3 linked regions of the Danio rerio genome follow. The protein of the gene in region 3 interacts with the protein of the main gene of each other region in a biochemical or structural test. Links are inferred from orthologs where the notes say so. Each region holds a gene or a part of one and is shown on either strand. Other genes may lie near its edges. The genes, in order: mcm3l, amer1 and keap1b.

The links.
Region 1: the proteins of keap1b (region 3) and mcm3l form a complex in vitro, tested with the Homo sapiens proteins (2 studies listed by BioGRID, with this or other methods). The link is inferred for Danio rerio from reciprocal best matches to the Homo sapiens genes KEAP1 and MCM3.
Region 2: the proteins of keap1b (region 3) and amer1 form a complex in vitro, tested with the Homo sapiens proteins (2 studies listed by BioGRID). The link is inferred for Danio rerio from reciprocal best matches to the Homo sapiens genes KEAP1 and AMER1.

The regions. Positions count from the first base shown.
Region 1 is NC_133195.1:6,677,945-6,681,603, forward strand, and holds part of mcm3l (MCM3 minichromosome maintenance deficient 3 (S. cerevisiae), like), read right to left. Parts: intron 2,349-3,659; coding exon 2,140-2,348; intron 2,035-2,139; coding exon 1,860-2,034; intron 756-1,859; coding exon 629-755; intron 533-628; coding exon 382-532; intron 1-381. UniProt on the Homo sapiens protein: Acts as a component of the MCM2-7 complex (MCM complex) which is the replicative helicase essential for 'once per cell cycle' DNA replication initiation and elongation in eukaryotic cells.
Region 2 is NC_133180.1:22,730,447-22,733,098, forward strand, and holds part of amer1 (APC membrane recruitment protein 1), read right to left. Parts: coding exon 827-2,652; 3' UTR 1-826. UniProt on the Homo sapiens protein: Regulator of the canonical Wnt signaling pathway.
Region 3 is NC_133181.1:203,383-207,554, forward strand, and holds the start of keap1b (kelch-like ECH-associated protein 1B), read right to left. Parts: upstream 2,803-4,172; 5' UTR 2,786-2,802; intron 1,692-2,785; 5' UTR 1,443-1,691; coding exon 1,128-1,442; intron 543-1,127; coding exon 297-542; intron 1-296. UniProt on the Homo sapiens protein: Substrate-specific adapter of a BCR (BTB-CUL3-RBX1) E3 ubiquitin ligase complex that regulates the response to oxidative stress by targeting NFE2L2/NRF2 for ubiquitination.

The sequences.
Region 1 (3,659 bases), on a different chromosome or scaffold from region 3:
TATCACATTAAAGGAGCCATATATGTAGTGACTAAGTAATGGGATAATCTGGTATACTGGATGCAGTGGTGCAAATGATCTTTAAAAGATTTGTTAAAAAAAAAAATAATAATAAATAGTGGGTTCGCATAAAAATTATCTAAAACTGCATGTAATGTTTCTGTAAAATTTGCAATAATTATTTTATGTTATAAAATAATTGTTTTTAAAATAATTACAGTATATGTTACTCTAATGTCCATATTTGCTTTGCTAGTACCCAAAAGTGTCAATATGTAGATTTAAAGACTTACTCTTCTATACAAAGTCGATTTTACAACATAAAAGTGCCCCAAAAGTCAAGCATAAACCAAAGGTTATACATAAGTGGACATTACAGACCCTTGCAGAGTCACTGTTGACTTGGTCGTGGCTCCGGAGTCTAGAATATTCCTCCGCTATATAGTCTGATGCCTCCTGAGTCAACACTGGCTTCACCAGCTTGGCCACGTGGATGTACTTCCTGATGAACTCCATTGTAACAATCTTCTCCCTTTTCAAAAGGATTATCACAGAAACTCACTCATGCTACGCAACTTTTTTTCTAAGGGAACAAAGACCATTTATAACTAGATGAAGAGAAGCATACCTTTTCTTCCTGTGGCCATGCAGGACATTGTCTTTTTTCTCATAGATCTGCAACTCCTGCTCAGATGCTTCTGTGATGTTTGGGTCTTCTGTGGCGAACACGTCCACTGTACTTCCCAGCGGCATTGCTGTTTGTGCAGACACAATACTATTTAAAACAACATTTCATTTTGTGATTCCAAAGCTGAATTTGTAACATACTTTCTCCGGTCTTAAATATCACAAACCAGTTGTAATACACACTTTTGTCCTTCTTAATTGTCAAGTTGAATTAATTTTCAGTTCTGAATGTAGAAAACTACTATTCCTACTTGAAATTTTTTGTGGAAACTGACATTTTTTGCAAGATTTTTTGAAGAATGGAAGGTCCAAAAGATCACTACATATTTGAAATATTCATATTTAACAATAGTTTTAAACAATGAATGCATTCTTTATGAATAGAAGTAATTATTTCTTTTTTAAATAATAAAAAATTTAAAATCGTATGCCAAACTGTTCAATGGTAGTAGTAGATCACTTTTACTGTACCACAAAAATGAAGCAAATAAATAAATAAATAAATAAATAAATAAATAAATAAATAAATAAATAAATAAATAAATAAATAAATAAATAAATATATATATATATATATATATATATATATATATATATATATATATATATATATATATATATATATATATATATATAAAAATAAATAAAAAGGTTGTGTTTTTACATTTATTCTATACTGGTGAACGCTACATTTGAATAAAGTAGTAAAAAAAAAAATCCTTTGATTAGTGTTTTTCCACCCCATAATTACGACTTCTCTTCTCAGAACTGTAAAAACCAAATAAAATTAAAATGGTGATAAATGTAACTTGCAATTCTAAAGGGGTGGGGGGTGTATACTCAACTGGAGTCAAAAAAAAAAAAGGAAAATTCCATATTTATAAAATGTTAGCACAAAATTGCAAGTTACAAACTCGATTACAAAGTAATAGCTTACAAGAAAAAAAGAAAATTCAGAAATGCAAAAAAAAAAAAAAACAACTTAAAATGTAAACTTGAAATTGTCAATTCTGAGAGAGAAAAAAAACCTATCAAAGTTATCAGCTTGTAATTCCACCATAATTGTTCTTTACAAGCAATTGAACTTATGCCAAACAACAACAAGCTTCTAGCACTTATCTCCACTCATCTCTAGAGGTGGTTGTGTTTTGTCCAGCAGAGGTCAGTCTCACCTGTTCCCTCTGCTTCTCCCGGTGCTCTGTAGCGATGCATACGCAACACATGCTCAGAGATCTCCTTATCACTGTCAGGATCCATCTGATCCAGAACTATGAAGAGCAGATCAAATCTGGAAAGCAAGGAATCCTGGAGCCCGATGTTCTCCATGGGGGTCTTATACTGGTCATACTTGATAAATTAACCCAATTGAACACATTAGAATTAACAGAATATTAAATTCTCAATTCTTAATAGAAAGTACTTATACCAGTCAAGCCACCAATCAATATTTACCCTTCCGTACACTGGATTAGCAGCAGCTAACACACTGCAGCGAGCGTTCAGCCTTGCCTGAATCCCAGCTTTGGAAATGGTGACCCTGCCCTGCTCCATCACTTCATGGATGGCGGTTCGGTCCATGTCTGACATCTTATCAAACTCATCAATGCAAACCACACCTCTGTCAGCAAGCACCATAGCTCCTGCCTCCAGACGGCGCTCACCTGCAACAGCCAGAGGAGAACAGGCACAAATTCATTCTCAGCTTCCTTGCATCATGCTAAATTAAAAAAGAAACACTGCACTTTTTTGGAAATAGGCTCATTTTACAACTCCTGTAAAAAATTTTTAAAAATCCATTCAGCGGATCTCCAGGTCTGGCAGGAGCATTTTTAGCTTAGCATAGATCATTGAATCAGATTAGACCATTAGAATCTCACTCAAATAATAAAAAAAAGTGTTTTGATAATTTTCCAATTATACACTTGACTCTACTTATTCTATTCTTGAGTTACATTGTGTATTGTGGCTGCTGCACTTACAATAATATTATGCAGGGCTGTTACCTAGTTAGCTGTGGACTATTTTCAAGCACTATGTAATATTGTGTTTGCTTCAGGCATGGTATTGAATCAAAGTTCCTTGATTATTATGCTGGATTGAGAGTATAGTTTTTAGCCACATTGACCTAGAAAATAGCAACTTCTTATTTTCTGTTGGTTTTACAACACGCAAGTCGATTCTTTATATATATATATATATATATATATATATATATATATATATATATATATATATATATATATATATATATATATATATATATATATATATATATATATATATATATATATATATATATATATATATATATATATATATATATATATATATCCAGACTGACTGAATGAATTAAAAAAATAATAAAGCTCAGCTGTTTAACTCTACACTCTCAAGAAATAAAGGTACAAGAGCTATCATTGGGAAAGTACCTTTACATATTTGTACCTAAAGCAGCCTTTGTGGTACCTCAAAGATACATATCAGTACCCAAATGCACCTAAAATGTACCTTTGAAGTACTAATATGGACTTTTCAGGTACAAATATGTATCTTTTGTAAAGGTACTTTCCCAGTGACAGCTCTTGTACCTTTATTTCTGAGAGTGTAGAGTTAAACAGCTGAGCTTTATTATTTTTGAATTCATTTAGTCAGTTTTGTTACCTTTTAGCCTCGCATAGACCATTGAATTGGATTTTAACTCAAAAATAAATAAATAAATAAATAAATAAATATAATATCTTGTACCTTTATTTCGTATTTCGAGTGTATGACTTGTAAAAATGAGTCTAACCAGAGCAGGTTGGGCTTAAGGGTTAGTTAACAGCCGGGCTATGTACAGTATGTGTCCCTGGACCAGAAAACCAGTCATAACTGTTATTTTTGTAAATCGAGATTCATACATAATCTGAAAGCCAAAATAAATAAAAGCTTTTCATTGATTTGTGGTTTATTAGGAAACATTTATTTGAAAA
Region 2 (2,652 bases), on a different chromosome or scaffold from region 3:
CTGCTGTTTATCTGACGTAACGCATGATGAGAAGCAGACACGCATGTGGAAGTGGTGGGCGGGGAGAAGCAGCTCATTTGGATTTAAAGCCAAAGGCTACAATAACAGCTACAGCATATTCAAACCCTGCAATGGGCAAATTCTGGAGGCTATAATAAATAATCTGATGGGTATTTTGAGCTAAAACGGACACATTCTGGAGACACCAATGACTTAGCTTATATCTTGTAAAAGGGGTAAAATAGGTACCCTTTAAAACGTTTCAAGATGCAAACATTGATAGCTTGAAACATACAGCATATTGTGAAATTGAAAAAAATAACTTGTATTAAAAAAGAATTTGTTCATCAGTTCAAACTAAGCTTGATGTTTGAATAGGCTTGCAAGATTGTATTGGTTTTAATGCTATTGCAGGGTTTAATACTTACTCTAAAATAAGTCATTTATAGTGTCGTTGTTGTCCTCTTTGCAAATATATAAAAAAAAAAACATCTGAACAATATGGATCAATTTCAATGGCAATTCCTGGCTACATAAATGCAAAGCAATATGGCATCTATATATAGACAGCACCTGCTGAAAACTGTTGTAACACACAATGTACAAATGCACATCCTCTTAAACTCACAGAAACTAAAACAGCTCAAAAAACTACACAATACCTCACAAAAGAATACAATAGCTTATCCGGCAGTAACAGCAACTATAGTGTGTATGTGTGAGAGTGCCATACAATTCAAGAGTGTCAGTAAACATCCAGCATCGTCTTTGGTGACGAGACTTGTCTATTTGTATTACGGTTTCATTTTGAGTGGGGGAATATTGTTCATAACTTGGGGGGTGCAGGCGTGAAGCCACCCTTAAGTTCCCCCCTCCTGTTCTTCATTGTGATTTCTTGATGGTCTGCAGATTGCTCAGAGCGAAGATGTGGCACACCCTGGGTGACCCCGACAGGCCGATTCTTCCACTGTGTGCCCATAGGGGGGTAACTGCACGGATAAAGCGCATCGCCTCCACCAAATAAAATCTCCCCCTCACCATCCACTCTAGTGGCAGCAGGGAGGTTACGACTACGGCAATTGTTCTTTAGGGGCAGGTGTGAAGGTCTGACAGTGGATTGGCTCAAATGTGGCAACTTCAGTTCTTGCTGAGAAGCATTGCTGGAATCAAAATTCTGTCTGTAGCCCCTCCTCCAGCTGTCAACCGTAATTCTGCAGGGTTGTCGTGGAAAATCCATATCATTACAATCAACAGTCCTGCTCTGTGAAAATGCAGTGCCTTTTGAGTCATACTTGGTTACGCTTGTGTAAATTTCACTTGTCTGAAACTCCAGACTGTCTGTGTCAAGTGAGCGACTTCGGCGATTTAGTGCTAAAGGGGCAGGGACTGGTGGACAAGGTCGACCCAAACTGAGGTGCCGAGGAAGGCTTGCAATTCCCCAAGCATTGCTGAGCAGCAGACTCTGTTCATAAGCATCAAAAGTACGCTGGTCACACTCAGCAAAGGCATCTTGTTGAAGGTAACAGCCATCATCTTCGAATGGCTCATAAGGAGATGCCAACTCTTCCTCTTCCTCTGCAAGGTCAGTCTGCTGCTCACACTCACCCTCATTCTCCATATCAACCACATCGAATGTTACAATGGCAGGCAGGGCTCTCAGACTTGGGCCAAAGGGAGAACTTGACTCAGAGCCATCAAGACTTTCAGTTGAATTGCGGTAAAGCCGGGTGTTCTTTGTAAAATCTACCAAGGCTTGGGAGAAACAGACCATCAGCTCTTCTTGGGATTGGCTGCAGCCTCTGGAGGGTCGTAATGAGCCTTGATCGTCAGATTGAGGCTGCGGTCTGGTTGTCTCGATGACTTGTGGATTCAACACCGAATCAGCACAGGGTGCGAATAACGAACTCTCTTGAACCTGACCCCTGATGCGAGGGACTCCCTCTTTAACAGCCTGGGATCTTGGTGGGGATTGGGGATAGCGCTGATTGATAACTTCTTGCAAATCTTGCTTACTATCATCAACTGGAAGGTTCGAATCATCATAAAAGCAGTCGGAATGGAACAAAAGCTGGTTTTTGGATGGACTCCTGAGATTCTGAAGCTCACAGCACAGAAGGGCATGTTGGATCTTGCTCAGGCGCTCCTCCTCTGTCTCCATGGCTCCTGTTTCTATTGCAGTAGATGCCAAGGAGTATAGCGGGTTTGTTGGACTCTTATCAGCCTGCAAGGGTGCACCAACAAATGAGTGGGCATCCTTGGGAGGAAGAGAAGGACTGAGCAGGCGATCGTCAGGCTCAAAAAGTTCATAAAGGGCATCACCACTGTAGCTGTCCCGTGGAAGCCTTTCCTGGTGTGGACGTTCTCTACTCTCCTCTTCCATCCCTGGCGTGGTGGAGTCATAGTAACCCTCGTCACTGTTGGGTACCGACTCCTGCCGATCACTCTGTGGACTCAAGAGGTCGGCAGGAGTGAGAGCAGTTTCTGTGATTCCCATTGGGCTGCTGCTGGAGGTGGCACGGATAGAGCTCAGTTGCTGATCAGGGGTGAGTGAAGGGCTATCTGAGCCCCTATCTGAGGGGATGTAGCAGACTTCATTACTAGTTTCTGACTCCCATAAGCTCTGCAAGTAATCCGCGTCTATCTCATCCGGGG
Region 3 (4,172 bases):
GGCCCGAATCCTCAGTGATCCCGCCGGGCTCAGATCATTTCTCTTTCTCACTACAGTCCATCTGCTCCAGAGTTTTAACTGAACCTCAGTCAGGCGATCTCGGACTGATTGATTTGGTGCAGATCCAAGCACAATTGCTGGATTCACATATGCCAAACGAGCCGCGCTGACTGGACTAACGGGACGGTTCCGAAACAGAAGTGTGGGTGTGAAAGCCCCTTATTGAGGCCTGAACTCTTGTGTTGGTGTGTGAGGGGTGTGAGAGCGGTTATCCTGTGTGCGTCGGCCGCTCTGACCTGGCTGAAGTTCATGTAGATGTACTCTCTGGCCTTCTGGTGGAGCTCCGTGCAGCCGATCTGCTCGGCGAAGCTGGCGATGCCGATGGCGTTACTGGGGTCCAGCTGCTCCACCAGGAAATCACAGCAGGCCTGAACCACGCTGTCGATCTGGTACATCACGGCGCCGTTCATCACGTGGATCACACACTTCTCACCCACTGAGATGCTCGCCGTGTACGCAAACTCAATGAGCCGGCCCATGACCTGGAGACAAGAACACACACGCACACACACACACACACACACACACCGTTTCTGAAGTGGGCACACTGAAAGGCACAGGTCACCTATAATGAACATGTCCTCCTCCTTTCCTCACTCGAGCGCTTCTACAGCTTCATCAGTCTCTGATACTCTGAGGAATGCTGGGAAAGCAGCCGCTGACGTCCACAGCAGGAACAGAAACACTGCTGCAGTCATCAGCTGCTTCCTCCAGGACATCTACCGCTGTGTTCAACAGAAACTCAAACAGGTTTGGAGGAGGAAATGAGGAGAGAGAACAGCTGCTGTCACTGATCACCTGACCACTGAGCTGTGTGTGTGTGTGTGTGTGTGTGTGTGTGTGTGCTGGAGCTCAGGAGAGGAGCTGTACACATTCAAGACCATCACTGTATCATGATGCAACACTCACACAAACACACACACTCACACACTCACACACTCGCACACACACACAGCTGGGAAAACTGCACTACAAATCCAAATTCCCATTTATTATTTTTTCCTAGTGTGTGTGTGTGTGTGTGTGTGTGTGTGTGTGTGTGTGTGTGTGAGTGTGTGTGCTGGTACCTTGGGGTGTATCCCCTCGATGGGCACCACCTCCATGCCGCACTCCTTTAGGCCGTTGGTGAACATGGCGCGGAACACAGGCGAGGACGAGGCCAGCACCACCTTATGCGCCACGAAGTCGACGTGTGTGTCGAGCGGGCAGTAGCGCACGCGGAGTGTGACGTCACACAGCTGTCTCTCGCGCCGCAGCTCGTTCATGATGGCGAAGGCGGCGGCCGTGTGGCTCTCCAGCGTGTAGCTGAAGACGCGGTGCCCATTGCTGGCCGACGGCGTCACCTCCGCCTTACACTCCGTCATGCCCGCCGCCGCCAACATCAGCGCGGGCACATCCTCACTCGCCAGCGCAGCGGTCACGAGAACACACACACACCTGTGTTAGAGACACGCACACATCATACACACACCGCTCATCACCAGCAGGAACACACGCAGAGGAACGCTCACATATCTGTGTTCTCCTGACCAGTGTGAACACACACACACACACACACACGCACACACACGCGCCTGTCAGTCAGTCTGTAGAGGAGGGCAGAGCTGCTGATCTGTGTCTGCACGCGAATCCTGAGGGGGAAACACACACACACACACAGAGAGAGAGATTAGAACAAACACTGAGGATTCACCACTGACTACGATAACACACTCTGCCATGAATGATCAGGAGTATCACACACACTCTCACACACACACACACACACACACACACACACACACACACACACACACACACACACACTCTCTCTTCTGTTGGACTCAGGACTGGTTCATCAGATCTTCGTCAGTGATTTGATCAGAACTAATGAGTTTCAGGAGTTCCTCCTGTCGTTAGCAGGAGTCTATCTTCTGCTTACACACACACATACACACACACTGACTACACACACACTGTCCTGCTGTCAGTGAACCAGAACACACTCTGATCCACACTTAGTGTGTGTGTGTGTGTTTATGAGTGTGTTTTTGTTTGTTTATGAGTGTGTGTACAGGTAAACAGAATCTCACACACTGTTAAAAATGCAGGCTTCCACACAATTCATTCATCTTGACCCAACACAAGTCGATTGAGTTAACTCAACACATTTAACAAATGCGTGTGGATTGAACATAAGAAATTTAAGTTCTCACAAATGAAACCTCAAGAATTGTGTTGTTTCAGCTCATTTTAAATAAGTAGTTTAAAAGAGCAAATATATATGCAGCAGGTGTGTGTGTGTGTGTGTGTGTGTGTGTGTGTGTGTGTGTGTGTGTGTGTGTGTGGTTCCAGCTGTCTGCTAGGTTTATTTTAATGTGTTTCTGTCAATTTGCTGAACTGAAGTGTTTATCTCCGTTTATCCTCCTCACCCCGGCTCTACAGTCATGCTTTAATTTGATTTCCGCTGTTTTCAGCTCTTATAATAACACTAAGAACACAAAGCGCGGTAAATACACATAAACAGCGAGAGGCCTGAGATCCCCGGGCTTGAGTTGAAACGGCACCGGCCCCCGGCAGCGCAGATCCGGCCACACTCAGCAGCGGCGCCGCGCCCGAGCGGGAAACCACAGACCGAGGCTGAGGAAAAGTTCAGCGCTACGCGACCCGCGCTTTAAATTATTGATGGAAACGCGAGCCGACCTCAAATCAAAACACTTTATTCGTGTTATTACCATGTTCTTACCGCGTTATAAGCCTCCATAAACAACACAGTGATCAATCAGGAATAAAGATGAAGATTAATAAAGTTCATCATGAGCTGATCTTCATCAATAAGGAGACAAGCCGCCATCCTCATCCTCACAGCTGTACATCAGAAACTGCATCAACACGAGCCTGTAGATCTGACAAACGCGGCAGTAATGTCGATTAAACACAGTAAACAATGAAAACACACTCACGGGCATCAGCAGCAGCGCACGGACACTCTCTCTCTCTCTCTGTGTGTGTGTGTGTGTGTGTGAGCACTTCTGTGTGTATGTGAGTGTGTGTACTTGTGTGTGTATCATACCCACTGAAAGCAGAAACTCAGCGTGACTAAGCATTAGCTGGCCTGTGTGTGTGTGTGTGTGTGTGTGTGTGTGTGTGTGTGTGTGAGATGCAGTACTGATGTTGGACACGAGGTGTCGCTACAGGTCAATAGAGCGGGCTGCTGCTGGGCTGTGTTTGAGCTGTTCTGCTGTTGGCTGTTCTGGGATCTGTGGTTCAGCTGACTGAACAGCTTCTGTTCTGTTCTGCTCCAGTGTGATCATCAGAGGAGGAGCTGAGCTGAGCTGAAGCTGCACACATCTCATGCCTATACTGGATCCAAAACACGATCAGTAAAACAGTCCGGCTCTCAGTGAGCAGAGCGGAGCGACAGATGGAGGACTACATGCAGAGTTATGTGTGTGTGTGTGTGTGTTCAGCAATTAACATTTTACACTGAAGGACACACACACACACACACACACACACACACACACACACACACACACACACACACACACACACACACACTGCCTCTCCAGTCTGACTTTCATTAATGAGTAAATAAACATTAAAATCTTTGTAGAAGAGCCCAATCTGTGAACAGCTGACCTCTGACCTCTGACGTGCCCGTCTACTGGAGCAGCGACTCACACTCTACTGCACTTCAGTCTGACACTCACGGCAGAGCAACACACACACACACACACACACTGGTCAGGAGAAGCTGAGAGACACACACACACTCTTCACATCTCTATTTTAATATTTCATGAGAAGTTCCAGTTTTGACAGATGACTAAGCTTGTGTGTGTGTGTGTGTGTGTGTGTGTGTGTGTGTGTGGGTAAGAAAGAGAGAGTGTGAGCGATTGAGAGATGCCCGTGGTTTAGGTGTGACGGCTCTGAGGTTGGTTTGAGTGTGTGTGTTTGTTTACGGTAAACAGTGTAAAGGTGAGCTCTGTGGTGTTTCCATGTTTGTTTGTGTGTGTGTGTGCTTGTGTGTGTGTGTGTGTGTGCATGTGTGCAACAGCAGCCCCTCTGCAGACGCACAGCTGAATTTGCAGTCACCCACATGTGTTTGTTGGTTTCCGACACGCACACAC